Coturnix japonica: one gene and its partner. The protein of the gene in region 1 purifies or fractionates together with the protein of each later gene. This does not show direct contact. Links are inferred from orthologs where the notes say so. Each region holds a gene or a part of one and is shown in the gene's direction. Other genes may lie near its edges. The genes, in order: LRP6 and AXIN1.

Evidence for each region.
Region 2: the proteins of LRP6 (region 1) and AXIN1 purify together in Homo sapiens (affinity purification with western blotting; 7 studies listed by BioGRID and IntAct, with this or other methods). This does not show direct contact. The link is inferred for Coturnix japonica from reciprocal best matches to the Homo sapiens genes LRP6 and AXIN1.

The regions. Positions count from the first base shown.
Region 1 is NC_029516.1:66,023,037-66,038,565, reverse strand, and holds the start of LRP6 (low-density lipoprotein receptor-related protein 6), read left to right. Parts: upstream 1-8,729; 5' UTR 8,730-9,011; coding exon 9,012-9,066; intron 9,067-15,529. UniProt on the Homo sapiens protein: Component of the Wnt-Fzd-LRP5-LRP6 complex that triggers beta-catenin signaling through inducing aggregation of receptor-ligand complexes into ribosome-sized signalosomes.
Region 2 is NC_029529.1:10,793,388-10,808,153, forward strand, and holds the end of AXIN1 (axin-1), read left to right. Parts: intron 1-1,422; coding exon 1,423-1,560; intron 1,561-5,436; coding exon 5,437-5,990; intron 5,991-7,943; coding exon 7,944-8,120; intron 8,121-8,912; coding exon 8,913-9,158; intron 9,159-13,592; coding exon 13,593-13,760; intron 13,761-14,246; coding exon 14,247-14,373; 3' UTR 14,374-14,699; downstream 14,700-14,766. UniProt on the Homo sapiens protein: Component of the beta-catenin destruction complex required for regulating CTNNB1 levels through phosphorylation and ubiquitination, and modulating Wnt-signaling.

The DNA.
Region 1 (15,529 bases):
TGAAGTGATTTCCAGGAACCCTTTCTGCATACGCTATCAATAAGATGAAGAGTGATTAAAAAATGGTGTGCTACAAGCAGTTCAGGTGCAGCTTCCTTACTCATGTTTAGAATGTCTCTTGAGTCTGTAGAATATCAGGCATTTGAAACATAGAAGGTTATCGTGGGTAACAACCCAGACTGAAATAAAATGGACAGATGTGGCAACTGTGGTTTATGACCATGCATAACAGCAGATTAGCATGTATCAGCTGGCAGGTGTTAATTGTCCCCAAGTGAGACACCAGTTCTTGCGCTTGTTCTGGAGTGTACTGACACCTGTATTACAGCTAAGACTGTGGAAAGAACATGGACTTGAAAAGTTAATTGAATAGATAAGGTATGTTTTCTGGGGTAAAGTTCATGAATTTATAATGGTCCCTGATTTCTTTTACCTTTCACTAGTTTCCAGCTAGTTGAATATTGGTTAAATCCTAAATAGAAACTGCATTCGTCTTAATGGACCTGGTAAAACAAAATAGATCTCCACAGAAACAAATTTGCATGTTCCTTGTCTGAATTTTTACTTGAATTTCAATACATCTTGTTTGAATCTCCAGCTTGGCTCAATTCATGTTTATTTTACTCTCTTACCATCAGTAGTGACAACTCAGTATCCAACTTCTACCTTCTTTTCCTGCACAGCTGTTTTGTTTTCTACTTAATGTCCAAGAGCAGAGGTTTTGCTCAGATATTTGCTGAGTTTTCTCTTACTTTTGTTTCCCAGATCTTCCTGTTGGAAACTGAAGAGTATTTTAAACTTCAATTTTGATCTCTTAAGCTTAATTTTGAAGTGTTATCTATACAGTAAGTGACTTGCCAGCACTGCAATGATGAGAGCTTTTAGCTCACGGAGTAGTCCTGCACTTACTGAAATTAACAGTAGCATCTAGAAAAAGCAGATTTTGTCCTTAATTTGTCTTGAAGAGCCATTAAAGCATTCCAGCTGTAAGCAGGTATCTCAGATGTTTTGTCTTAATGTAGGTATAAATCATAGCACGCTTCTGTTGAAAAGAATATTAAAAAAAAAGAGCCTGTCAGGTTGTAAGGGTGGCTAATATAAAGATGTTAACAAAGATGATGGTAGATAATCAAAGGTTATTAGCAAAGGAAAACTCACCAATATCAATGCCTTGACTGGAAAGCTGAGGCAGCCTCCACCAGGGAGCAATCTCCAAGAGATGCTGCCTCAGTGGTGGTCAGCCCTTAAATGAGGTCTTAGAGGAGGTGGAGTCAAGCTCCACCCCTTCCAGGAGCACAGCTAAATTACCCTCACCTGTGCTCCCATAGATGACCCAACACTTGCCTCAGCTGATTAATCAGAGGTTCAGGCTGTGATTTCCCATACACAGGTACACAGCTGAGTACTCAAGAGTTTGTGTGCAAAAACTAGGAGAGCTACGGGGGCAAAAAGTGAGATGAATAGCTGTATCTTGTCTGCTTGTGATCACTTTGTACTGTAAACCAAATAAAGAGAGAATTAGTGCAGTTTACCCAAACCTTGCTGTTTCATAATTGCTATAGTATGTGAGAAGTAAGGGGTGGTAGGTGAAGTGGAAGCAATAACTAAATAAACATTCTTTCTCCCATTCTTAAGCAGTTTGGTTCCCACTGTGGTTTTTGTTGTTTGTTTTTTAACACAGTAACCAGGACACCTTTTGATATATTGAGTTCACAGTTTATTGCCATGGAATTCCATGAGAAGCACGTGTAAATTCTCACCAATGTTTCCTCTGCCAAGACTCCTAAACCACAAGTGTAGATATTGCTCTAAACTGTTGGTTCTTACAACTCCTCAAGCTTTTCATATTTAAATTTTTTTTTTTAAAAGTGTTTTTGGGGAAAAATAGCATTTTATATGTAACGTTCAAAGAAAAGATTTCTTAATATGCCAAGATTAAATGGGGATTTTCTTCTGTGTAAGCCCTTTTAATATCATTCTAAAGGTATTAGATTTTTCACAATTGTAGTAAGGAAAAATTAGTACAAGTTGCATTAACTGTAAAGCTCTGACACTGAAAAAGGCATTGGAAGGAGCTTTATGTGTCAGGCCTATGCAAACACAATTTGCTGTCTTTTATTCAAAGATCCACACGACCAAATACTGTCACCGTGGGGTTGGCTGGAGAGGTTAGGGAATAGGAAAGGAAAAGAAATTGTGGATAGCTTCATTTATTTATTTATTTAATAAGAAAACAGAATCAATTAAATTCATAACTGAGTATGGTGATTCTTTAGTAATATCTTTATAGCAGGCGCAACTGTTTTAATAAGTATATTTGAGGCTCATATCTTTCTGTGTGCTTTCCTTTGTCACTTATCTACATTCAGTTGTCAGCTTACAAAGAATCTTTATCCAAGTCCATGCTGTAAGGAAGTTATTTGAAGAACTATGGAAAAGCAGCAAATGAGACTTTAGCCGTATATAATTGCCTCTTCTAACTCGTCATCATATGAAGATTGATCTACAGGCCTTAACACACCAAAATCTTTCTGTATTGAACCATAGTGGTTTTGAGGACCCACACTCATTCCTCTGCTAACAGGTAATGAAATCAATATGATGTATTTAGCGAATGCCAATGTGTGCAGGGCTTTCTGCTGTTCTGGGCCTGTATTTCAAATATCTTGTGAAGAGATTGGTGTTTACAGTACTTAGCATTGCTGCCAGTTGACAGTGGGGTAAATGAGAGAATTTGGAATTTGGCTTTCACTTCAGCCATTCCCCCTGAATCCTATATCTCTGATTTATAGATCAATATGAGTCTAATAAGCCAGAAATTCTCTAGCTATCTTGAAATTACTGGGAAAGGCATGTTTAAAATGGGTAGACTGTAGAATCAGCTGCTGACAGTTATCCTTGGATTTCATGCTTTGAAAAGTGAGCGAGGACTAATAAAAACTATTATCAGCATTGCTAATAGTTGAATTGAAGATCCAAAGAAAAGAAGGAAAAAAAAAAGGCAAGTTTACTCATTGAAGAGTGGTGTCACACCCTCGGGCATTCACGTTTTTATTGTTCTGAAATAAACTGAAGGCTTAGGGACTTGTATACGTTCTACATGCCACTTTCCCAAGCCTTAAAGCAAGCTTATCACAGTAAAACAAAACTTAGATCAGAGAATGCATGCAGGTAACAGTTCTGTACTGTCAAATGCATTAATTTTGCTACTAGAAAAACTGACCAATATTAATTTAATGAAAAAACTAAGACTATACCTCCACCCCTATTTTTAATTACTGTCATAAATAAATCAAGATAATTTCTTTTTCTTGAGATAACGAACTGCTCTGGCATCTTGCATTGTTGTGATTTTGCTTTATGAATTTCCTAAGTTGAGGTTGGCATTAACATTGTAGATATTAAACCCAAAAGGTTAGCCATCAGAGGGCACTCTTTTCTGCTCTAAGGAATCACAGATCACAGAATGACCCAGGTTGGAAGGGACCTCAAGGATCATGTAGTTCCAACCCCCCTGCCTGGCAGGGCCACCAAACATACACATTTACTAGATCAGGTTGCCCATGGCCCCATCCAACCTGGTCTTGAAAACCTCCAAGTGTGTGTGCTGAACAACAAGCGTGTTGAACACCTCCAAGGAAGTGTGCAAGTAACTCGTCCTGCTTTCCTGAAATAGTTTGAGGGCTTCTTCAACAGCTCATATAAACAACCCCCCTGAAGTGGTATCACAGTTAAGGAGATACATAGCCATTTTCTCATTGTGCCAGGAGTCTTGGCTGAATTGCAGACTAAATAAATATAAATCTATAAAGATAGGGATGTAGATAAACATAATCATAAATCTTCTCCACAGATTTTGAACTGAAGAAGGGTGATTCTCTTTTGTTATTATGAACTGCAGCTTTCCCACATGCATCGTTATTACTGTGCTTTAGCTCAGAGGAAGCTACTTCAAATTTCAAAAGAGCTCTTTCCTGTGCACAGATGGTGCGTCACAATGTCTATATTGCATAAAGAATGAAGTGTTGTACGAACGATGGCTTATCACTGAAACTTACCTTTCTTGACCATAATAAGGCATGCGTTCCAGTAATTTATCCCTATGACTGTAATAGTGTGTACAAATGTCCAACCCTTTACCAGGAACTAATTTTCAAACTTGAAAGGCTACAGTGCAAAGCATAACTTTCAAGTCCTATGGATATGTATGGCAAAATACTGAGTCCCACGAAAGTGTTCTGAAAATGAATTCTTCTTCAATTGTTGTTGTTTAAAATGCATGCGTGTTGTTGTTAATAGAGCCCAGATGCTGTCTGGTTTTGAAAATCCTTGCAAACTGAACTAAAATAGTGTTTTGGTATCTGTCAGTCTGCAATGCGATCTCTTTTGAAAGGGTATTTTAGCTGTATCAACCCAGCATTACAGTTCTTCACAAATTTTAGAACTCTAACTTTCTAAAATGACTTCATAATTTAGCTTTGAAATATAGCCGTGGCTACGTGGCTTTCATAAGGAAAGCATTGGGCTTGCCCTATGGCCTGGTGGGCAGTGCCAAATTAAAATCAGAATCCTATATGGTTCATGTTGAAAGTACTACAGCTGAAGAAGTATATCCTGAGGCAGTGTTGTTTTCAACTCCCTGGGAGATGGAAGAGCAGAAAAGAAGCAGCAGATAAACAGCCTGATCTTGGCTAGACCATCAGCAGGCGTCCAAACTCTCCTCGAAAGGTATAAAGAAAAAGCCGAAGCCTATAGGGTCATCTCTTTTATATTTCCCCTTCAGGTTGTCGCTGGAATCCTGTTGGACTAGCTTACCCCTACACTCTGCTGAACTCGAGGACCTTCTCTGTGAAGTTTTTTGTTGTAAGGATTTTTTGCAGCCACAAAGAAATGCAGTTCCCATCTTGGACACCAGGCAGCATCTTCTGAAAGAGGAGATGGTAAAAAAAGAACAGGTATTACACTTAATGTGGAGAAACAAATAAGGTAGCACCGAAGAGCAAGGAAAAGAAGCAACTCCAAATATGAGTAAAAAAAGAAAAAGAAAGGGACTCGATTGGAGTCACGGTGTCCTATTTTACCTGTGAAATTGTTGTAACTGACATCACTGATGAAGTCATCACTATTTCACATCCCAATTTCTATGCTACTTTGCTTCTGTCTTTCCTTATGGATGCAAGAGAGGACTTGAGCTAGAGTTTCAGTATGAAACTTGACCCTTTTGAAGTTGGTGAGAGTTTTGCCATTGACTTCAGAGGGACCAGGATTTCACCATGCCATGCCCATTAACTCTTGTTGAGACATTCAGCAAGGGAACTAATTATGATAGTGGTTTCTGTGATGTGGGCAGCCACAAATTCATTTGCCATGCAACCATCTTCTGCTAACAACTTTTGTTCATTAGGGACTTCAGTCCCCATTCCACAGTGGATCCCACCGACTTCACTGCAACCCAGGGCACTGTTCAAAGGTGCAGAGACTTGAGTTACTACTGGTTTCAGGAGCTCCAGCTTCCACTCCTGGCTGTGCTCTGTGCTGACAGAAATGCTTGTGAAGCTGTATTATGAATCAAACTAGGGAACTAACCCGAGTATAACAAAATTCTTGTGAAAGTTCTTGTATCATTGAATCACCATCCGAATCTAGCGGTAGGAATAACACTGTACAGATTTCTTGACAGTCAGTCTGACTGGATTTGAATGAGCAAGTGAACACTTCCGTTCATAAGATTAATAAAAATAATTATAGCCAACAAGAGGAGCTTCCTACTGTAATAGAAGAAACATTCTCCTATTTCCTTCATCTTAACTTTAAGATCAAATAAAAGAATGTAAGTATTTCAGAGGAACCTGGCTGTCAGAATCTTTTCTGTGTGAGGTAATCTGGTTTAATTTGTAAAAACCTTTACAGCCGAGTTCCTCCTGTGTGTACAAAATAGAATTAAAGCTGAGAAACAGATACAACATGGGTTTGGCCTTGAATCTTAAGCATTTAATAGAAAATAGTTTTTAAAGATGCTACCTAGGCTTGATTAGAGAGAGGACTGTCTCTATGAGGCATATGGAGAAAAGGGGATACATAAGTCAAGCCACTAATCGGTCAGTGACTTAGAAGAAATCCTATCAGGAAAGGAAAGGTCTTTGAAATATAGAGAAATGGTCAAATTCATGATGGGTGACAGCATGTAATGTTTGTAAGCTAAAAATAAAGCCAGTCAGATGGGATGGTGGGGAAGATGGGAGAGCCAACAGGCAGGGGATCCGGCTCCCAAGGGAGATAACCAAAACACCGTTGTGTTTCCAGCAAAAGAAAAAGGAATACAACCTGCAAGAGGGAACAGCTCATAGAGAAATGTGTCATTTGAGGGTTCAGGCTTGACTTTTCTCTCAGCTGTCCATTGTGTTATTAAGGTATGAAGAATTCACAACGGACTTGCAATACTTCACAAAAGGTTAATCACTGATTATGCAACGCTGTGAATTGCTGTTTCCTTTGATTTCAGCTGCTCAGTGAAAATTAATAGAATGCTGTGCTGCTTCTGTCTGCTCCCACAAAATCCAGTTATGACAACAAGGGTACGCTAAGATTCATCCACTCTCAGGTACATCTATTCACAGGAAGCCCTTCTCCTCCACTGTCATGGTTCTTGCTTGAGTCTTCTATCCTCCTGGCTGACACTGCAGCAACAGAGGAGGTTATTCCACCTGGTGGAGTCAAAGACATATTTAAACGCAGACCTGCCTTCAGGCAGCTATTGCTGTTGTTTACATTTTCAAGACTTCCCCCCCGCCCCCCCTTTGTTAAACAACTTTCCAAGTTGGATGTATACACACAGAATTAAACACAGAATGACCCAGGTTGGAAGGGACCTCAAGGATCATGAAGCTCCAACCCCCCTGCCTGGCAGGGCCACCAAACATACACATTTACTAGATCAGGTTGCCCAGGGCCCCGTCCAACCTGGTCTTGAACACCTCCAAGGACGGGGCATCCACAACCTCCCTGGGCAGCCTGTTCCAGGGCCTAACCACTCTCCTAGTGAAGAACTTCCCCCTAACATCCAACCTAAATCTTTCCTCTTTTAACTTAAATCCATTTCCCCGTGTCCTGCTATTATCAGCCCTTTCGAAGAGTTTACTCCCCTCCTGGATATTGGTTCCCTTCAGGTATTGAAAGGCTGCAATGAGGTCAACCCCACAGCCTTCTTTTCTCCAGGCTGTACAAGCCCAGCTCCCTCAGCCTGTCCTCATAGGGGAGGTGCTCCAGTCCTCTTTTGCCACCCTCCTCTGGACCCTGTCCAACAGCTCCACATCTTTCTTGTACTGAGGGCTCCACACCTGGACACAGTACTCCAGATGGGGCCTCACAAGAGCAGAGTAAAGAGGGACAATCACCTCCCTATCGCTGATGGCCACCCCTCTCCTGATGGAGCCCAGGATCCCATTTGCTTTCCGAGCTGCAAGAGCGCACTGCTGGCTCATGTTCAGTTTCTCATCCATCAGGACCCCCAGGTCCTTCTCTGCCGAGCTGCTCTCAAAGATCACTCCTCCCAGCCTGTACAGGTGCCTGGGGTTCTTCCAGCCCAAGTGCAAAACCTTGCTCTTTGCCGTGTTGAACCTCATTAGGTTCACCCGAGCCCAGCTTTCCAGCCTGTCGAGGTCCCTCTCAACGGCATCGCTTCCTTCCACCGTATCGACCACACCACTCAGCTTGGTGTCATCAGCAAACTTGCTGAGTGTGCACTCAATTCCATCATCAGTGTCACTGATAAAGACTTATACTTCTTTCTCTAAAAAGTTTTAACTTGCAGTTTTTCCCCAGTAGAATCTCTAAGTCTGATATCATCACATGACTGCCAGAGTCTGATGTCAGAGCCGGTTTGCAATGCCTGGGCCTTTAATCTGGCCCAGATGTTATCTCCTACTGTAATCACAAGAAAAGCTATGAAAATATATGTTCAACAGATACGAAATTAAAAGTTAAATGTTTCCATAAGTTCCTAACAACCCTGAAAAATAATACGGACTTCTGAACGCGAGGATCTCAAATCGTGCTTCAAGTCGTTCTGCCTCGTAGCTTCATCCCACGGAACGGAGGAGAGGAGGGACGTCCCGTGAGATGTAGCACAAATACCGAAGTATCTTCGCCCACGGGGCAGCACCACAGAGATGCTCGAGGAAAGGCTGTGGCACCGCAGCCCGCCCTTCACTCGGGAACCACCACAGCGGCCGAGCAGCCCTCACCTGCGGGCGGAGGGGATCAGCCGCCTTTGTGCGGCCGCCGCCGCTGTGTGACTGAAAGTAGTCCCGTCCCTCCCGGGCCGGTGTTGCTCCGACGGCCGCATCGCACCCAAAAAGGCGGCGGAGGCGTGTGCGTGCGAAACACCGCGGAAATAGTCCCGCTGGAATGCGACGGCGGCGTCGGGCCGGCTCCCCCCGTCCGACCCCTGGCCCTGCCCACGGCCGCCCGTGGGCCGCGCCCGCCCGCCCTCGCCCCACGCCCCGCCCGAGGCAGAGCTGCCCGCCGTGCCGCCGGGCGCTTCCCCGCCGTCGTTGCGTGCGCGCCGCCTCCTGCCCGCCCGCTCGCTCCCCGCCCGAGAAGGCGGGCGGTGCGGCGGGAGCGCGGAGACGGGCGGGCGCGGCGCAGTGCGGGGCGGGGGCCAGGCCGGGCCGGGCCGGGGGAGGAGGAGGAGAGGAGGAGGAGGAGGAGGAGGAGGAGGGCTGTATCCCTGCGCCTGTGCGCGCCCGGCGGAGGCGGAGGCCGGGCGAGCGAGAGAGCGGAGAGTGGATGGCGAGCGGCCACGGCGGCGGCGCGGAGGCCGGCATGCAGGGGAGCGCTCGGTGCCGCTGCGGCGCGGTGGGGCCAGCGGCCTGCTAGGGGGGCTCGGCGGCCGCCCTTCGCCGCTGCCCGGCCCTCCTCCCCGCCTCCCCGCCCGCCGGGCAGCATGAAGTGGCAGCGGAGGGACTGCTCCTCGCCGCCGCCCCGCCGGTGAGAGCGCGGAGCGAGGGAAGATGGGGGCCGTCCTGCGGAGCCTGCTCGCCTGCAGTTTTTGTTCCCTGATGCGAGGTGAGCGGGGGGCGGGAGGAGGAGGAGAAGGAGGAGGAGGCGGTGGGGAAAAGTTGACGGCCGTGTTGCGAGGGGCCATGTTTGCCCGGGCGGGAGGGGAGCGGCCTGCTTGCCGGCGGGGCCGGCCCATTGTTGCCGCCTTCAAGTTTGGCTTTTTAATAAAAAGAGAGTAAAAAGGCACCGAACGGCCCCGGCTCCCTCCGCGGTCCCGGCCCTGCCGGCGGCAACGCGGCTCGGGCGCGAGTGTCTCGGGTCGCCCCGCCGCTCTTCGTGTCCTCGCCAGAGCTGTTCGTTTTCCCTTCTTTTCCCCTTTCCTCCTTTGCCCCGGCGGTTCGGGGCTTCCCCTAGAAGTGGGTTCCCCGCTGCCGGGCGGCTCCTTATCGGTCCCCGGTGCCCGGCAAGGGGCTGTTGCCGGTCCCCCGGGGCGCCTGGGTTCCGCTGCCCCCCTCTGCGATTCCTGCTTCAGGAGGAGGATTTCTGTCTCGGCGTTAAAACCGGGTTTCTCTGGGTATTGTGAACTTAACTCCTGCGTCGGTTTCAGTCTGTTTACTGTTGGGAAGAAATCACCTGCGATGTTTGCATCCATCATCTTGCAATTTTCTCATCTTATTCTGCGCTAGAGGATGCAAGTGGTTAATAACTGATAGTTCATCAACCGTGTTTGATATAGAAAATTACTCCGTTCTCAACATTTATCCACGAAAGATCAATAGAGGTGTTTTGAGCTGAAGGAACTGCTCAGTAGCCGGTTGTTCGATACTCCACAAAACAAAAAATTTTCCACTCTTCCATACTCCCTTCCCTTCTTTTTTTTTTTTTTTCCTATGCATCTGTTTGCCATATTGTATCCTGTTTGTAAGGATACAAGTATACTTATTTAAATACACTGTAACAGTTCGCTTCCAATTGGAGCGGGGAAACTTCAGTTTTCAAAAGTAAGGTTGGATCCAGAGCAGGGAGAGGAATAGTTTCCTGGTTAGTTTTATTATGTAACGACCATACCTGTTCTTAATAAACCACTCATTTGCTTCTCAATTGCAGTTTAATTCAAATGGCAGCACCATTGCATGATATCAGAGCTGCGACAGCCACTTCTTCAAATGAATTTCAGAACAGTGACGTGTCCTGCTGCTCTTTTTAGCGTATCCAGTGATGCTTAAATAAACTTTGAAGAAACATTCAGTTTGTGAACTATCTGGACTGTCATTTCTTCACATCTGTCGTCTTTATCTATTGCCAAGATGTTTGTATCCGAGCAATAGTCCCCTTTCTTCTGTTTCTGTGTGTTCCTTCTGTTGGATCTTCCACCTAAATTCATAGTCTTATGTTTGTGACGTGATAGTAATTTCCTTAATTGTTACTTAAGGATGATATAAGCAGCAGGAACAGCTGAACTCTGAAGAAACAAGAATAAAATATGAATGCATACATCCTTTTTAATAAACAACGTCTTCGCAGGCAGAATTGGTTTGAATAAGATGTGTTGAGTTCATACGAAGTGTCAGCTGTTCCTTAATGAGGCAGAGGCAGTGCCAGAATAAGTATGAATAAGTTTATACATGAAAGTAGAGCTGAAGTGATGACGTTCGCTACTTGGTTTGTGAATTTGGTGCTGTGAAGGCTGCTAAGTCAACTAACTCAGCATTGGAGTTTAAACTCAGCATTGGAGGCTGAAACCTGGAAAATATGTTTGTGAATTACAGCATCCTCTGTTTAGAGAGCTCGCCTCCCTGCTCTTACTTAACAACAACAAAAACAAACACAACACAAATGGACAGAGGCTTACAACTGAACTGTGATTATTAGTGCAAGAAAACTGGCTTATCAGTCTGGAAGGGGGTAAAACTGGTAGCCTGGAAGTGTGGTACCTTATGAACTAGTAAGGACTTGGAGAAGTACTGGACCTTTCTGATCCAGAACTGGAAGCACACCCCAAGGCACCTTTCTGTCGAGTAATCTGAGAACTGTGATAAGCAGACCATACTGACTATTCAAAGGCAGCTATTTAGATTAGTATGAGATGAGCTGATGTCACAACAGCTGGCTGTGGAGGTTTGTGTGAATGTGTTTCTTTGATTTGTTTCTCCCTTGTGCTGTACGATAGGAGAAAGGGATTGCTTTCCTGGAATCTGCCCAGTCTCACCCGCCCGGCCTTTGTGCTCCTCTCTTGGTCTTTGGTTTGATCTGGGGGACTCTGAACTTTAGCAGTGTTTCCTGAGGCTGCTCCTCTAGGATCTGGACAGACAAGTCAGTAAGACCTTTCCTCTGGTCACTCTGTGTGTTCTTCATGGCAGCTGTGAAACCAGTCAAGCTCTTGTTAGGTAACTGGCAATTGCAAAGAGGCAGTAGCAGTGGCATCACATCTGTCAGGGAACTACAGATAAGTGTGAAACAGGTTTCAACTTATTAAAAAGTGTTAAAGAGGTAGTTCTACCTTCCCAAGTATTCTTGGCTTGCTTTTGTCCCAGAAATAGCTCTAGTCATCACGCAATTGCTGTTTGTTTGTTGTTTGTTGTTTTTTAAAGCCCTGATTGTGCAGAAAGTGCATAAAGCTCTTGTTTGAATAGAGATCTTATCAATGATGTTTGTGTAGACTATAGTGGATGTTGCAGACCTTTGTGCTGATTAACTAATCAGTTAGTGAAGAGTTGAAAATGTCTCTTTGGTATTAGGCTTTTAAAAGCTAAGAGAAGAGAGAAGAGAGCTTGAATCTGTTGTTATGAATAACTTCCTTTTGATAAGCAGAACAGCTTTGCTTTTTTGTATTGTTTTAGATAGACTAATTTGGACATAGTTAAGAAGAGTTTAATGTTCAAGTCTTGCTAATCTGACTGGAGGTGTTTTTCTCCCCAGAGTTGGAAAGTGACCGTTTTCTAGTCACATTTTCCATTGTGTGATTCCTTAGAAATCAGCACAACTTTGTCTGCTGTGATTTCCAATGCATTTTCCTCTTTCATCTCTCCATAGTACATTCTAAAATTAGTGTTATCTAAGGTGTTATAAAACATCCAGCATTGTTTTAATAGTTTTTGCAGTTGTATCTCTCTGATAGCTTGCTCTCATTAGACTGCCTTAACTTTATTTTTTTTATTAATATATATATATATTTTAACAGAAAAATTAGGACAGGAAGAAGTGTTTGTGGCAAGATGTGCCAGAGATATGAGGAAGCAGTGGGGTATGTGGATCTAGTCATAGGTGTATAAAGATGATGGGCTCCTTGTGTCCTTCAGTGGGAGTTCTCTACAGATATTTGGGTCAAATCTTTCTTGTGTTTCTCAAAAACACTGGTTAGAGGAGCATTAATCAGGTTTCCTTTTTTCCCTTCTGAATGGGTTACATCTGCATTTGAGTTCTAGATAATAGGGGGAATTTGTCTGGAAGTTATAGAATGAGTAGAGATATGGGTAGAGATATAGCTCAAGAGCTGGAGCATAGGAACATTTTAAACTCTGCCTTTGGGAACTGGAGAAATCTGATTCCTTTGGACATATGTAACTACCTTTATGATGATGTCACGTGTCAAAAATGCCAGCTTCAAAATATCAGCAACAATGCATATATAAAGGGCTTTACTTTCTAATTAAAATCCAGTGGAGCACAAATAGTATTCTTTCTTCTGAGGGAATGGGTAAGAGAAAAAACAGAGAAACAAGTCTCGGCTTCTGATCTGTCACCGTTTATCTCTTCTGGCAGCCAGTCTCCAGATTCAGACACTATATTCTTTTACCTCAGCATATTTAACCTCATTAATTTCCTATGAAATGCTAACTGCTTGGGTTGATTTGCTGGTGGCTTCTTCAAGACGTCCACATCCTTGTACTACAGGGAAGGGTATGTGCTGTTGTTGAGTGATACCAGAGATGCCAGTCTCTTCTCACTGGTGACAGGCGACAGGATGAGGGGAAATGGCCTCAAGTTGTGCCAAGGTAAGTTTAGGTTGGATGTTAGGAAACACTTCTTTACAGGAAGGGTAGTTAAACACTGGAATAGGCTCCGCAGGGAGGTGGCTGAGTCACCATCCCTGGATGTGTTTAAGATGCATTTGGATGTGGTGCACAGGGATATGATTTAGCAGAGGGTTGTTAGAGTTAGGGTACTATGGTTAGGCTGTGGTTGGACTTGACGATCTTTGAGACCTTTTCCAACCTGTGTAATTCTATGATTCTGTGCAGTCTTTTTGGGGACATTGTTGCATACTGCTACTTCTTGAGGAGCCAGCTGTTCTGTCAGATCTGCGTGCCTGACCTGCTGCTGGGGAGCCCTTGCTCATCTGCAAGTTCACCTGAGACAGGCTTAGTTCATAACAAGTATGTGGCTGGTGAAATTCCGTGCTGCCACCCACTCCTGTGATGACACATGAAGGGCCATTTGTACCTTGAAAGGAACTGTTGCCAGTGAAACATGGTTTACCTTGGTCAGGAATGTTCCACAGATGGGCTTAGTGGTGTAAGCTGCTCAGAAAGATATGAGGAGAGTGGATGCAGGCACCTCACAGACTTTGGGAATGGTTGCGTGTGGTCATATGAGGTAGCTGGCATTGCTGGCGTGGGAGATGAGGCATTGAACCTGAACAGTGTGGCTTGTCAGCTTGTGGAAGTGATGAATTTTCTGTGACTACACTTGTGAGTTGAGCAGTTGTAGTTATGGCTCTTTCAGGGGGATGTGCTGGCACCTCTCTTTATTAGGTGAAAGAAATTGATTCCCCTTTAATAACCTTGACTTAACCAACTTACACCCAGCTGGTGCAGTTTCAGAGTTTAACGCTTCAGAGTATTGACCCAAACGAAGAAGCTGCATCTTTCTTTTGCAGTAGTTGTCCAAGGCTCAGGAGAAAGCATTGCATTGTGTCTCTAGTGGATTAATGTAGCCAGTAAATGCTGACTATCGACCCTAAACAACTTTTTCCTATTTATATTTAGCAGGCAAGTCAACAGTTAGAGAGCCTTTATCAAGCTTTGTAGATACTCTCGCAGTTTGTGAATACTTATGGAAAGAGGTTCACTATGTGATGAGGCTCCCTATTTACTTTGCACGGACAAAAGGACTTAGTCTGCTTGGTCTGACTGCTGAACTTCTTATTGTTTCTCCTTTTTTTTTCCCTTGTTGTTTTATCCCCCTGCACTATGGCTACAAAAATAGACTTTTCTTTGTATCCTGGCGACTGTCGTGCTACAGACCTGTTTATTTCAAAGCAGTTGGCACTGTCGCCTACCTGGTTTGAAACAGTATTAGGTCTAATGACCTACAACCACAATGTGAATACTTTAATACCTTTGTTTTTTTGGCGTTTAATTTACAGTATATTTTTAAGAACATTCCACTCAAAGTGTAGCTTAAGAAGTTCTATGGATTAGAAATATTATGTTTCCTTTGCAAACTGTTACAAAAGCTGGAGAAAATGTGTCAGCATAAGAAGATGGAATGTTTTTTGAGTTTCACTATTTATATGAATAGAACAATAAGAGAAATGTTTTAAATATAAACAGACATGGAAAATTGCAGCACTCATGCCGACTTTTTTCAGTATCTTGTTACAGGATCACGTTACCTAAATAGAACTACTCCCTCGTGATATAATAAATGTGGCAGAAATGGGATTAGAGTTTTAATTCTGCTTATAAGGGCCATGTGTGAGCTCTTGATGTCGGATTTGAGTAGTAATCGTATCTGACACAGAAAAATCTTAATCAACTAACTATATAATTTTGCTTGATCAAAAAATCATTTGTTTTTATTCTCTGATACTATTATTTTCCCCTTCTTTCTCCTGCTTTTTTTTAATTAATTTATTTTTTAACTTGATCCATTCCTACAGTAAAAGTGCATTTTTTTCCTTTTTCTTTATTATTATTTTAATGCTTATGCCTCCAAAGTAGCCCAGTATTAAGCATTCTACTCTATCCATTGTCAAACAGTTCTAGAATGTGGCAGATGTGTTTGCATGAGTTCAGGAAGTTAAGGATATGTGGAAGGTGACTGAGAATTTCAGGTGTTTTTCCTTTCATTATTATTCTATCCAAACAGGGAGTAGAATTTTTGCTTGTGCTCGTAGTGTTAGCGTTACTTAAAATGTTAACGCTGCAGGAATCAAAGAATCTCTGTCTCACACAAACATTATAGAGTAGAAATATTAAAATTAAGAACAGTGGAAGAGTGGGAAAAAATTACCTGTAAATGTTTTAGTGATTCTTTTTATGTTCGTTTGGGAAATGCATTGCTGTTCTGGTGATTCAGAAACATAGCTGAGTCTCACCTTTACCTATATGGTAAATTGTTAATGTTCATAATTCTAGGGTTTTTGTTGTTATTGTTTGTGTGTTTATGGGTTCTTGTTAGTGGTGGGTTTTATATATGTTAGTTGTATATTAGTTGTATATTAGTTGTATATTAGTTGTATATTAGTTGTATATTAGTTGTATATTAGTTGTATTATTATACTTACTGACTATTTCAACTGGAA
Region 2 (14,766 bases), on another chromosome or scaffold:
CTAGGCTGATATGGGACCTCTGTGAGCTGTTGTGCTGAGTGAAAACCTGCAGAATAAGGTAGTGTGTTTTGCAGATACAGCAGTTTATCAAAGAGAAAGGAAAAAGAGTTCACTGTAAAGGTTCTTAGACACAATTATTTTCATTCAGTCACTTCCAGGCTTTGAGAGAATGCGGATAAATGTGCTGAAGCATGACATAAAATACCAAAGTGGAACTATCTCAAGCTCCCTAGATAAACTAGTGACCTTGAATGTCTTCAGATATTCATTATAATGAGTTGGAGCTGGACTTCTTAAGCATTGCTGGGCCTGGACCTTATTTCACCACACCTTATTTCACCTTATTTCATGAACAGTCACTGGTTGTGACTTGTCAGGTGAGACAGAGGTTTCCTTCATGGGGAGCTGCCATTATTACTGTGTGAGATAGATGGGCTGCATGGTTTTGGGCTCGCCATCTGATGGACACAGCTTCCCTTAGCCAATACTTCCTCAGATACTGAGGAATGGAGAAGCATCACTTGAGTCCTGGCAGCTTCCCATTGAATAGCTGGGAAGGGACTCTCCCTGTCGTGTCTTAGCACTGTGATGCTGCATGATTCAGGCACGTTTCTGAATTACACAAGGTCCAGATGCTAGAACTTGAGCTTTCTGTCCCTCCAAAGGGAAAACGTGTCTTGTCCTTGCACTTGTTGATAGCAGTAAGCATGGAAACAGATTTGGTGGCTGGGCTGACTGAGTTTTGATCTCGGTGAATGAAAAAATGGATGCTTTAAATTGCAACTTGGAACCTGAGTGTCACAGAAGACATGTCCAGCTTCACAGTGCAGTGAGTGGGATACTCATCGTCCTTGCTTTTCTTCCCTTTGCTTTCCATTCAGCAGTTGGCAGAGAGGAAAACGAAGGTTTGCATGCTTTTGTTAGTTCTAAGGCAGAGTGTTCCTTTAGCCTCCTGCACTGGTCTTCATGCTGACTCAGCGTAAATTTGGGTGGTCTCTAATCCTTTTTTAAGGACTCCAAGCTTGATGTCTGTTTCTGGTGCTGCATTTGTTCTTTTGGTATGAGACAGGCTTGTCTATATGTCCTTTTCCCACCATTTGAGACCAGGATATTCATGTTGACCTTTTGTAATTTTAAGGATTATTACTGTATATGTCCCCGAATGGAGTCTGATGCCAAAAGAGCTTAACTACTTTTGGCTCCAGGGCACCTTTGCCTGTGTGAGGGGGTATACGGAGCTGGTACCAGACAGTGAGCTCATGAGCTTCCAACTGATCAGTCCCAAGCCTCACCCCTGTGTCTGCCAGCTTGTCTTCCCTGTGCTCCCATTGGGACAACTGGCATTTCCAATTATTTGTGCCTCCAGGATAAATGTGTGATTTTCATGCACCTTTTGCTAACCACACTGTGTTTTCCCTCCAGCGTACATATCGAATGCCAAAGGATATCCATGTCGAACCAGAAAAGTTTGCTGCAGAACTGATCAATCGTTTGGAAGAAGTACAGAAGGAACGTGAAGCAGAGGAGAAACTGGAGGAGCGCCTTAAACGTGTTCGAGCGGTTAGTGATCTCCTTGTCTCTTGTACCAACCCAGGGATGTTTGCTTAATGCACATGACTGGAATTTCTCAGCTGCCATGAAAGCAACCTGGTTGACTACATTTATCACCTGCATGGGGCTTCTGCAGGCTCCCTACATCAGGTGCAGCATCCAAAATTCTTCTCTTGGGCAGAAAAATGCAGGGATTCCACACAGATGGCTGGGGAAGCCCAACCTATGGCACTGTGTGCTGGAGGCCCTGGTACTGATGGAGCCCTTCGAAACCTGAGTATTTGGTAGATGAACCAAAAGCTTTTAGCTCCTCAACAAGCTCCACAAGGGAGAGAATGAGGGATTGGCAGTCCAATTGTGAGACACCCTGTCAGCAGTACTGACACCTTATCTTTTCTTCTGATGTACTGCATCTCACAGGTAGGTACAGATCCTGTGTGTTTAGGTGTTTATCTTGTGCTGGAGACACAGGGACTTTTCAGAGGGCATCATAGTGTTATTGAACACCACAAATGTCATATGACTACAGCCCTGTGGGAAGAAGTTATGGGACTCCACAGTTAATAGCTGCTGTAGCCTTGAGGCAAAGGCTGTGTGCTGTGCACCCTGCAGCTCTCCTTAAAGCAGAGGTGTTCCTGTCTATCTCAGCAAGCTCTGTGCTTTCAGAGAAGTTGAATGTCTGTGGCAGACCTTTCAAGCTCATTATTTTTAAATACTCATTGATAGTTTTTGAAGTTAATCTAGTATCTCTTTAAACAGAAAAGGCACAATAGGGCTGTGGTATTGATTTAAATCACATTTTTCCAGTGTAAGAAGTGAGGATGCAGGGTAACCTTTGAGCTGCGTTTCATTGCCAAGCATTGTCCATCAGACTCTCTGCACTGCTGTGTTCAGCATCCAGCCAGAAACACACCAGCAAGGTTCTATTTTGTCATTAGGCTCCTGCTCTTTAGGAATTGGTCTGTTTTCTTTACCATACATATTGCTTTCTAGACAAAGCCAATGTGACCAGCAGCATTTCCTATTCGTAGTCCTCCTCCTCCCATAGCTACATTGCTGCCCCCAGCAGTGCCCAGCTACGTTAGCCCTGCTCTCTACCACCCTGAAGAAGTTGCCAGTAGCAATACCATAAAATCAGCAAATGCCTATGCCAGAGAATAAATTTAAGTCTGTCTAAACATATTTTTGTGTGACTTAATCTATTTTTAATCCCCAGCCTCCCACTATTGCTATGTATTAAACCTCTTTGCTGTCTACAGAATATATTTCATTGACTGGCTGGCATTTAGCATTAACCATTCAGGAAAAACTCAGAGTAAGCAACTGTAGTTTTTTTAGGTCAGTACTTTGGGTGCAAGAGCTGCTGGAATCAGCAAGAGGAGAGCTTGGATCCTCAGAGATCACAGTCCTGAGCACTAGGACTACAGGGTGACCTCTTACTGGTTCTGCATGGCTCATTGCACAGGGGAAACCATACGGCATTACTCACACTGGGCAGTTATCAGCTTAGCAGAGAAGCTGGAAATATTTTGCAAAAGCTTCAAAAAAAAGGTTTCTCCACCCCATACTGGGCTGCCTGCAGGTTCCCTTTCAAAGCCACATCATACAGCAGCATCTGAAAGAGATACCTGATAGAGAACCAGATGTCTTCTGCTGGAAAAAAAATAATAGGATTGTTTTTTTTTAAAGAAAACAACAAACCTAAAAGCTCTGAATTTGTTAATTATGTTGAGCAGGTGCAGGAGGTGATGGGAGGATGCTGCCTTGTTACTTTCTCAGCTGTATGGGAGCTGCAGGACTGCCTCCCAACCCAGTGAGTTTCAAATAAGCCAAGTGCAGGAGAAGTAAAACCATTGCTGAGATGCTCAATATTTGAGTGTAAAACGTTGTCTGAGTAGAGGGAAAATGCACTTTGCTTGAAGATATAAATGCACTCCTGTGCTAGGTGAGCTATTTCAGCCTGGCAGCCTGCAGGTGGGACTGGGAGATGTGGGGAGATGTGAAAGCAAGATATTGCTTATCCATAGCTCAGCAGCGCCTGTTCAGCCTCCCGGCTCCAAGGGAAGGACTCAGGCTGGGCTGTAGAGTAAAAATAGCTCAGCAGGCAGTCGGCAAAGTCGAAGCATCCGTCTCACTGTCGCTGGCTGTGCAAGCTGGCAGAGGATGTGCCTGCCGGTACCACGTCCCCCAAGCACCACCTAGTGGCTGTGCCACCTGAGGCTGCCCGGCACGGGCTGCAGGCAGCAGGGACCTGCATAGGGCACAGCCCTGGGCAGGAGTGGAGGCTGGTCCTCCTGGCTCCTCATGTTTGTGTGCAGCAGGCCCAGAAGTGCCAGGTGAGGGGCTGACTTGTGCCCAGTGCAGCTGCACTGAGCTCCTGGTTGTCTGGGGGGAGCCAACTTCCCAGAGCTTGGTGAAACAGATGAGCTGAGACAGGGCACAGTGAGACAGTGCATCCCTCCCCTTCCCTTAGCCCACCCTGACCTCAGTCCTTGAGCAGAACAATGTGGGTACCAGCCCTAAAAGCCTCCAAAGTATCGAGTGTGTGGCTGTGTTATCATAACCTGCTCATAATCATTTAACTCAGCATTATGGGTTTAGGCTGCACATACTCTGTCTTGTTCCTAAACCAGCTGTGCAGAGATGGGGTTTTACAGGCTGCAGTGTTGTCACTGGAGATGAAAGGTGCTCCTGAAGGTTTTAAAAGCAGTCTGTGAGAAGTGGGCTGTCTCCTGTGGGAATGGGTATCACGTCAGCCTGAGCTCCAGATCTGCAGAGTGACCTGCTGTCATCTGAGTCACTGTAACAGTGCTGCTGTGCTGTGGGATCAGCCTTGTTCCGAGGTGTTTGCACAACAGCCCGTTTCTGATCCCTGCCACATGGTGAGGCGGGTCTGAACAACTTCTGAAGTAGGTTCATATTGCAGAGAGAGGGGAATGTAAAGAGAAAACATTTGCAGTTCTCTGCCATGTTCCGCACCTGATTCATCTGCTGGGACTCGTTCTGTTGCATGCTTTTGCTCTGGGCAGCCCTGCTCTGCTCCTACCAGCTCTGAGCTCACCATGCTGCTCGGAGGGCTGGGCAGCAGCGTGGCCCCCTGGAGGAGCTGCTGGCAGAGGGCACAGCAGGCGCCCACATCTTCGGTGCTTTCAAAGGCTGCCATTGTCCTTGGCTGAGTTCTGAACCCCCAGGTGTGACGTGGGGAGGAAGTCTGTTATTTGCTTTCTCGCACTGTGGTTGGCAGCTGAGACTTTGAAGCTGAATAGCAAGTGATGGATGGGGACATCCGACAGGCAGAGCTGGTGGGAGGCAGTGTTTTCCAGCAGATGCACTTATCTGGCAGGGCAGAGATACCACACGCTGCAAATGATTCTCTGCTCCAAAGGAAGAAAAGAGAGCGGGATTAAAGCACTTGCATGGAATCCTACTTATGTAATTTTTAACAAATAAGAAGCCTGTTTTCCAATGAAGAAACTTCATAAATATTTGAGTTTATGTTGGAGCATAAAATCGTTTGTCAGCATCAAAACTGTGGCTGTCAGCACGGAGGAGTTTTATTCTTCCTGGCACAGCTGTAAGAGCCACTAACAGCAGCGTGTCCGAGGCTGCTGTGGGCCACGAGAGCAAGCAGGCAGTTACAGCCATTTCTTTATCTGCGTGGAGGGTTTGGCTGCAGTGTCAGTGGCTACAGGAAGGTGCCACAGCCTGGGGCAGGGCTCCAAAGAAGGGAACATCTCTCTATGTTGAACATATTCACAACATGGCTGGCCAAAGCCAAGGGTGACCCATCCGTGTGTTGGTAACAGTCGTGCTGTGAGCAGGAAGACCCCACAGACTTCTTCTGCCACCTTGCTGTCATTATAATTGTCCTCTTGTTTCTTGCAGGAAGAAGAAGGCGAGGATGCAGATCTCTCTTCTGGTCCTTCAGTCCTCAGCCACAAGATGCCTTCCGCCCAACCTTTTCATCACTTTGCCCCTCGCTACTCCGAGATGGGCTGTGCTGGGATGCAGATGAGAGATGCACATGAAGAAAACCCAGAAAGCATCCTGGATGAACACGTGCAACGTGTGATGAAAACACCAGGCTGTCAGTCTCCAGGCCCCGGCCGCCATTCGCCCAAGCCACGGTCTCCAGAAAGTGGCCACTTAGGGAAGCTGTCAGGGACACTTGGAACGATTCCTCCAGGGCATGGCAAACACACAACGAAATCAGGAATGAAACTGGATGCAGCTAACTTATACCACCATAAACATGTCTACCACCACATCCATCACCACAGCATGATGAAACCAAAAGAGCAAATTGAGGCCGAGGCCACTCAGAGAGTGCAGAACAGCTTTGCTTGGAATGTAGATTCACATAACTATGCAACAAAGTCAAGAAACTACTCTGAAAACTTGGGCATGGCCCCTGTCCCCATGGACTCTTTAGGCTACAGGTGAGTAGGGCAGCAGGGTGGCTGGGCCATATTTTCTTACAGGACGTGGCTTAAGGGCCTCCCACTGCGCTTCCTTTCAGAAATGAATATGCTTCCTAACAGCACTTAAAATCTCTGTGACCTGGTGATGAAATCCTCTAACCAGGATTTTTACTGGCCTTGGCTATAAAGTAGCACTTCTGCTCCTTAAAGCAGCAGAGGTGCTGGGGCTTCCCTGTGCTTTGGGAGGTGATAAAAGTAGGGCTGTGTCTCGGGATCTGGGTAACAGAAACCAGGTTCTTAAGCTGTTTATGAGAGAACAAAAAGGTTCATCTTTTTGCAAGGCCTGTTTTATTCACCAGAAGGTTTCCTTTCTCTTCCTGGCTAAGCAGTGGATGTTCTGGTGCTGCTGTGGCCTGCTATCCCAAGGGGACATTCTCCCTGACAGGGGCTTCTTTAGATGCAGTTCAGGATTCAGCTGGCTTTCTGGGCTGCAGTGCACACTGCTCATGTTCAGTTTTGCAATGACCACCCAATTCCTCCATCTTCTATCTGTGTGCTGAATGGAGAGGGTGAAGCTCATTCTCTGCAGCAGCAGGTTTTGCTAGTCCTGTGTTTGCATTACTGCAAAGGTGAGGCTCAGGGCTACCTTGAATAATGAATGCTGATTGTAAGTGTGGAGAAACTGCAGTGCAGAGCTCATTAGCTCCTTGAGGTGTGTTGTCTGGGAGCAGTGTACTGGGGGTAGGATATTTAGTGAAGACAGGCAGCCAGATCAATGTGTAGGAGCAACTTTATGGGGTGGGAGAAGGGAGGCAGAGCGCAGGGGCAGCTGAAGCAAACTGCTTTCCAGGTGGGGAAGAAGGGCCCCCACGTCTGCCCAGCTTCCATAGGAAAAGGGCTAAGATATGGCTGGGTTGGTTCTACAGAGCATGCCATGCTGGATCAACCCAGAGCCCCATCTAAGTACAGAGCTCCTCTCTAGCACTGTCTGCAACACATGCTTAAAGGAAATGTCAGAGGGTGCATTCAGAGCTGTCCTTTCTTTAGCACAAACTCCCAGTTCCTGATTCTCCCCAGGGTAGGAGCCTCGTAAGAGAAGAGTTCACATCTGAACAGTCTTGTTCTTTTTTCTGTCAGTGCTAATGAGCATACAGAAGTAAAGCAGGTGGGTGATCAGGATGCGGGGGTGGCCGGTAAAACTGCTGGCTATGGCAATGACAGGCCAGCACTGTGCAGCCCCATGAGCATGTAGGTGCCTGGCTGCACTGCTGGGCAAATGGGCAGCACGTTGCCAAGGAGGGATGGGATAATTGTAGTGATGTGCTATAGCCATAAACATAGCCAGGGCCTTTCCATAACTGCCTGGTTTCAATCTAGCTGTAGTCTGATGGGACTGTATTACCCAGGTTGGTGACAGCCTGCAGAAGGCATTATAAATGTTTAAGTACAACATGAAGCCTCAGTTCAAGTGGTGGTGAGAAACAAGTGCTTGGCATGGCAGAACGGCAGGAGGGGGTTTGGGGTGCTAGTGAACCTGTAAGCAAGTGTGAGGATGGCACAGGAAGGGCTCTGAGTAAGAGCAGTGATCTGACACGGAGAGGCAGCCAATGGATTGCAGCACCAGGCTGATCCTCGTGCTCTGAGCCTGTTAATCATGTTGGAGCAGAGAACTGAGGGTTGAACACAATCCTTTATGTGGCAGGAGATCTGCTGGGCTTTTTTGCTGCATTGCCGTGGCTTGTTTGCCAGATGCATTCCCTGTTTTGCATGTGGGACAGGGAGCCTGATGTGCCTCAGGCTAACCAACCTTGCCCTGAGCCTTAGCCATGGCACAGTTGGTTGAGCTGTAGTAGAACCAAGCAGACCCTGGCAGGGCTGAATGTGTCCAAGAGAGACGTGTCCATCCTCTGCCACTGTCTGTGGAGGTTTGGCTTAGGCAAAGCGCTAATGTCTCAAGCTTTGTTCTTGCAGTGGGAAAGCAAGTCTGCTCTCAAAAAGAAATATTAAGAAGACCGATTCAGGGAAAAGTGATGGTGCCAACTATGAGATGCCAGGATCTCCTGAAGACGTGGAGAGAAACCAGAAGATCCTTCAGTGGATCATAGAAGGAGAGAAGGAGATCAGCAGGCATAAGAAAACAAACCATGGGTAAGGGCTGGTAGAGTGAGGAGTCTTCATGCTGTCCTATTGTATCCCCTGCGTAAGGCACATATAGGCTGTGCAGTGGTCTGCCTTGTTCCTGGAGGTCTTGGGAAGACAAGCATCCACCAGGCACAAGGGTTAAGGTCCTTTGGAGACTGAGGATTGCTTGGGAGCTTTAAGCATAAAATTCATTTACTTTCCTGAAGAATGAATTGTGGTGGTGGGAGGAGGTTGAAGCCTCAGAGGAATCTCACAAATTGCTGCTGTGGGTACAGAATGGATAATGAGGCACACAGTAGGCAGTATTTTTGCTTTAGGCACTTTCTGTACATAAACAGCTGTCAGTTGTGCAAAGTGTTGATAGAAATGTAGGTCCTGCTGCACTGAAGCCATTGGTCCAGAGTTAGCAGTTTAAGAGGGCTCAGGTAAGGAGAACTGGGTTGCCCAGCGTTTGGGCTTGTTGAGAGCATCCTCTGGACAGTTTTTTGCCTTGTTTCACAATAGTAGCTGAGATAAGTTGCTCTGCAGGCAGCTGGGGCCGTGCCAGAGCCATGGGCAGTGCCGCAGGGGCTGGCAAGGATGAGCACAGTGCTGCAACATCCACTGCCCATCAGTGGCTCACAGCCTGGCAGTGCACATCAGGGCGTCTTCTGGCGGATCCTGCTGAACAAATTTGATCCATCATTGAGCTGCCTTCTGCTGGGTTTGTTTCTATTGTGCATTTCATGGTATCATCTGGACGTGCACGTGTGCAGAGTGACTCAGCAGCCTGTGTAAAACCTTTGTATTTGTGTGTAGCTCTTCAGGTGCTAAGAAGCAGCTGTCCCACGACATGGTCCGACCCCTCTCCATTGAGCGGCCTGTTGCAGTGCATCCGTGGGTCAGTGCCCAGCTCCGGAACGTCGTCCAGCCTTCACATCCTTTCATCCAAGATCCTACCATGCCACCCAACCCAGCACCCAACCCACTCACCCAGTTGGAAGAAGCTCGCAGGAGGTTGGAGGAGGAGGAAAAGAGAGCTGGAAAACTCCCACTGAAACAAAGGTATGGCCATGGGGTCTGAGTATGCATGGGAGAAAAGGGGGGAGGCTGCTCTGTGACTGGGGAGCCATGGGAGGTGCTGTGCTCCAGTTTCCAGCACTAACTGAGTGGAGGCACCTGCAGAGAGGTCAGGGAAGCCTCCTCATTCTCTCTGACATGGCTTCTGACAGGCAAATGCCACAAGCTGCCTTAAGGCCTGGGCTTGAGTTTTGTGGATTGGAAGTCTGGAAATGTTCTGAATGAGCCTGGGCAGGTGGAGCCTGTTTAGAAATAGCATGAGAGGGAAGAGCGCTCTTTGTAGAACTAGTCAGCGTCCGGTTTGCTGTACTCACCTCATCTTCACCAGCACACTCGTGGTTCGTTCACACACTGGTTGCAGAGTTCTTGGTTGGTGCAGTGGCAAAATTCAGCAGAATGCAGCAAAATTAAGTGCAGAAGAATATGTATGTGCTCTTTATCTACATCTCATTCAATCTTCCAGCAAAGGAAGCTTGTGGCAGCTCAGGGGGAGCGCTGCACACTGCTGCAGCAGTATTGTTCTCTGCATGCCTGTATCCAAGTCACTGCAGCTTCCTGTGACTCAGCTCAATGCCTGTTGCAGAGCTAATTCTTCTGCTCCCGTATTATCTTTCAGGGAGGATTAGTTGCAAGGCACACAGAGCTCTCAGATGAAAAACATTTTGGAAGTGCTTGATAATTACTGTTAAGAACTAAAAGCACTTTGACCATTAAAAACCTTTCACAATGGGAATTGCTTGTAGTCACTTCATTGCTTTATAGCTGTGTTCTGAAAACTCTAAACTTTGGAGTCTGACATTCAGAAACATGAGTGTAATTTAAAGAACAAGCTCCTCTAATTGCTGAGCTGCAATTATTTGTGCTTGCAGTGGTCATGTAGCAGACTTCTGCATATTTATATCAGAGCATTGATTGGAAGCTAAATAATTAGAGGGCTCTCCCACGTCGGCTTGGGCCAGGCTTATTTGATCTAACTTTCACTTGGTGTAATTGGATAAGGTTTATTTGTGGAGTCATTTATAGTCATATTAAATTCATACACCTTCCCAAGAAACGTCTAGGTGCAGATGCACACTTGGGAAACACCAGCCTGGGCTTTATGCATGTGTCTTGAATACTCTAATAACAACTTGGCAGCTTTTGTAGAAACCCCATGGCGTTGTGGTATGTGCCCTTCAGACCAGCAGGAGAACAGGCTGAGCCACGCTGGGCCGTTCTGCTTTCACACTTGTGCTGCCTCCTCACAGTGTTTGAGGCTGGGCCATTGATCTTTGGGAGCCTATGCAAGCTGAAGTGTCCAGTGCTGGCTGACCTGACCTCTTGTGCCCATTGTGTTGGTGGAGAGCCTTGTCCCGGTGGTTGCTTGCCTGTGCAGTCAGTTTTTGAGCCATTTTCTGTAGCTCACTGTCACAGTGCACATACGTTTCCAGCTGGAAGAAGTAATTAGTAGCAGCTCTGCAGAGAAGAGATTTTCGTAAGCAGCAAAAGAATTTTCTAGTCTCTCCAGCAAAAATGTTAGCGTGAGCTTGGTTTGGAATTAGTTTGATTGGGCCAGGCCTGGAAGAGGAGCAGAGCTGGATGCTGGGACACCTCCTGAGGTAACATCTGCTGGCTGTATTTCAGGCTTTCCACAGCTCTTTGGCCCCAGGGCTGGGATGGAGCAAACCTCCCCTGTGCTGGGCATGGCAGCATCACAGCTGGGCTGTGTCTGTGCTCTGACACAGGCTGAGTTAGTGCTGGTCATAGAACCATAGAATCACAGCATGGTTGGGTTGGAAGAGACCTTACAGCCCCCCCCCCAGTCCCACCCCTGCCATGATCTGGCTGCCTCCCCAGCTCAAGGCTCCTTGGGCAGGGTAAGGTGCAGTAAGGCAGTCAGCACTGCATTTATCTTGCTGGGTAACATTTCCTGCTTGTGACAAACTTTGCAAAGGGAGCTGAGGCCAGAAGAAGGAACAGAGAGTTAATTGTGTGTGTTCATGGAGAGGGTACACTGCAGACCCAGGGGATGGGTGCAGATGGAGGCTCCAATGAGGCAGGGTTCAGGCGTGCTGTGATGGAGCAGCACACTCAGCAGGGGCCCATCTGGGTTAGAAGTGGCCTCGGGAGGTTTCTGTGCGATGATGGCAGCAGAGATGGTTGTGTTGTCATGTTCTCAGGGGAGGAATGTCTGGAAAACTGTGTTGTCAATGATTCCTTATTCATCATCCCTGCTTCAGTTTGCTAGAGATCTGGGGACGTGTGTGTATTCTGTGATGCTTTAAAGGGTGATGTTCCTTCCTGCAAGGAGGCACCAAACCTTTGGCTCTTGTCCCATCACTGGTGGCCTCCTGGGGTCCTGTCAGAAAGAACCAGGCGGCTCTTTCTCCCTCACATGCTTTCCAGAAGCCACACGGTCCCCACAGCCCCTTTCTGAGCCTGGGGAAGAGGAGCACAGCAGCCAGTCTGAGGTGGCTGCAAAGCAGCTTTTCAGGCACAAATTACACAGTGGGAGGAGGAAGGCTCCCAGCCATTGGCACAATCCTGCTCTGGCTTTATCATGGCAGAGCTGGGGAGCTCGAGGTGTTGGTTGTGACAGTCCTGCCTGCCCCCCCAGTGACCAAGGAGCTGCCCTCCAGCAGCCTAAGCACCATGCTGCATGCACAGCGTGTGTCATTGCATCCCCACCAGCCTCCGTGCCAGCTCCCCTGGGCACCAGCAGCTCTCTCATAGTCATGACTCGTTTCCAGCAGCATTAAGAGAAGCTGAGGGACTCTGAGGTTTTCCAAACCCCTTCAATTAACTCCTGGCTCACAGGATACACAGAATTTGCCTGAATTTATGACCCGTTTTTCCTTTAAACACATGATTTTATTTTTTATTTTTTCCAGAGGATGATTCAATTCCTTAATGTTTTTCTGCCTAAAGGGCATCCTGTGCTTTGATACAGGGATGGCTTCTAAGAGCTGTGCTGGCACAAGGAGCTCCATCACCTCTTGGGATGCTGCAGTTTCTCCAATGGTCTCCAGAGCAGAGCAGGCACCAGGAGCATTATGAGCTGAACTTTAGACCTCTCATGGCTTTAGAAAGAGGTGACAGAGTTCTCCCTGGTCTTGGTTTGCAGTGCCAATGTTATTGTGGACGTGCCATTACAAAGGTGCTGTGACTGTATTTAAAGGTTGAGGTCACAGCCATTTCCAACACTGCCATTAGCTCATGTGCTTGGCGTATTCTGCTCTTATAGCAACTTTCCAGTCCTATAAATACAAAATCATCCTTTTTTTTTTCTCCTTTTTTTTCCCTTTTACCCCGTGTGCCTTTTAAATGATTTTAAAGCTGCCAAATCTGTTTTATGTGATTCTGAAAGAGAAGGCTGCCTCTGGCTGAGACCACACATGCCAAGCAACGCATTTGTGTAGGCTGCTCAAATGTTTGTGCAGCATTTACAGCGCCCCAGATGAAAGGCTCCACACAAGTGCAAAGTGCCCTTATTTTGATTGTTGCTACTTTTGTCTGACTCTGAAAATGAGGCGAGGACTGGACACTTTCAATCTGGTGATGGCACCAAGTAGCAAATGCCAGTGTGTGGGCTGGAGGGAAGGAGCAGACCGACATCCCGACAGGCAGGAAGGTGTGAGAGGTTCCAGGTCTGCTCACTGGAGGTTTGAGGATGGTGTCTGCCTTCCAAAATCCAGCCTGCAGCCCAGCCAGGCCTTGCATGATGGAGCAAGACAGGATGGGGTGAGCAGCAAAGCACACAGGGTTTGGCACATCCCAGAGCTGCACATGAGAACTCCAAATGCTTCACAAAGGGAGTTGCTAGCTGATATGGATGGCACTTTCTTCTCCTTGTCTATGATATGAAGGCTTCTCCTGCAGACTGAGCCCTGGGAGCCATCACCGAAGCACTGCTTGTACTGAGGTCCAGGTAGCAAGCCTTGAAGCCTGAAGCCCAAGCACAGTGGTGCACACCGGTGGTGACACTGGTTGGCTGCAGTGGGTGTGTGATGCTCTGCCTTGCTCTGCCTAAACCAATTGCTCTCAGAGTTCAGTGCTGCAGGAAAGCCACTTCAAAGCCTGTCCCTGGGATGGGTTTCTGCAGCATGAAGGGGCTGAGCTGGAACCTGTGCCCTGTTCCTCCTATCTATGAGCTGGCCTCCATCCAGCCTTTCTAAGTGCTGTTCACCAGCCTGAGTGCACAGATGTATGCCAAGAAAGGTGGTCAGAGTAAAAGATGTTTCCTGAGGGCCCTGAGTGTTACTTTGGCACCTCCATACAGAAAGGCTCCAGTTCTCTGCAGATAAATGAAGGTCTGGACCTGCATCCCCTGCCTGGGCAGCCCCTCACCCCAACCAGCACCCAGTGCTGCCGATGATGCTGAGTCTGTGCCAAGCACCATAGGCCGATACTCAGGACATTGCTTGTGATTTTGTACAACAGGTTGAAGCCCCAGAAGAGACCAGGCAGCGGAGCATCCCAGCCATGTGAGAACATCGTGGTCGCTTATTACTTCTGTGGAGAGCCCATCCCATATCGCACCCTCGTCAAAGGGCGCGTGGTGACACTGGGACAGTTCAAGGAGCTGCTGACCAAGAAAGGGAACTACAGGTAAGGGCTGTTTGCCACTTGCAGTGTGGTGCCAGCAGACTGTCAGCACCCCCTGGCAGCTGCTACCACCAGGATGTTGATCCTGTCAAGGCAAAGGAGGTAGGTCAGGGGAGCTACTGGGGTTCTCAGCAGCCTTGCAGGGTTGTGGCAGCATCTGGTTGCCAGTGGACATTCCTTTCACTTAGAAAAGTAAGTCCCAAAGTGAGCCAGGAATGTGCTTTTTAAATAAGGGTAGAACTCAGACTTGCATCTGGAGTCCTACCTCCAGAAATATCCTGCATCACAGTTTGCTTCTCAACATGCCTGCTTGCATTCTGACTACCCTCACTAGGAGAGGGCAGGGGTGGATGCCAGCCTCCATGTCTGCTGGGGCTGCTCCCATTCATCATGAGCTCACAGCCACAGCTGCCCCCCATGTTTGGGTATCACTGTGATGTCCCACGTGGCCCTTAACCCCTCTGTGTCCCCGTGTTCCTTCCCTTTCAGGTATTACTTTAAGAAAGTGAGTGATGAGTTTGACTGCGGTGTGGTCTTCGAGGAGGTGCGGGAGGACGACACCATCCTGCCCATCTTCGAAGAGAAGATCATTGGGAAGGTGGAGAAGATCGATTAGGCTCCAAGGCTGCAGGAAAGGACTGTGAAAGACTCTGGGACTGGAGGAGAAGGTCTGGGGCAGACGCTGGCGGTGCTACTCCAGGAGGTGCTGGGCGAGCCCACGGTGCAGCCCACTCTGTGCCAGGACCTGGGCAAGCTCTGTTGTGCCATGGGAAGTCGTTTCACCCCCACAAACCTGCCAGTGGGAGCCTGGGCTCCCTCTCCATACGGAATATAAGTGTAATGTAGCATTGTACAGTGCATTAGAAAGTGTAAAATGAACTTGTTTACTAAAGCTGCATATTTTTGATATATTGTAATAAAAGGAAAATATTTCCAATGTCACAGTGCTCTTATGTAAATGTAAAAACACGCAGGTACTGCAGAACGCACCCAAAGTGTACAGCCATCC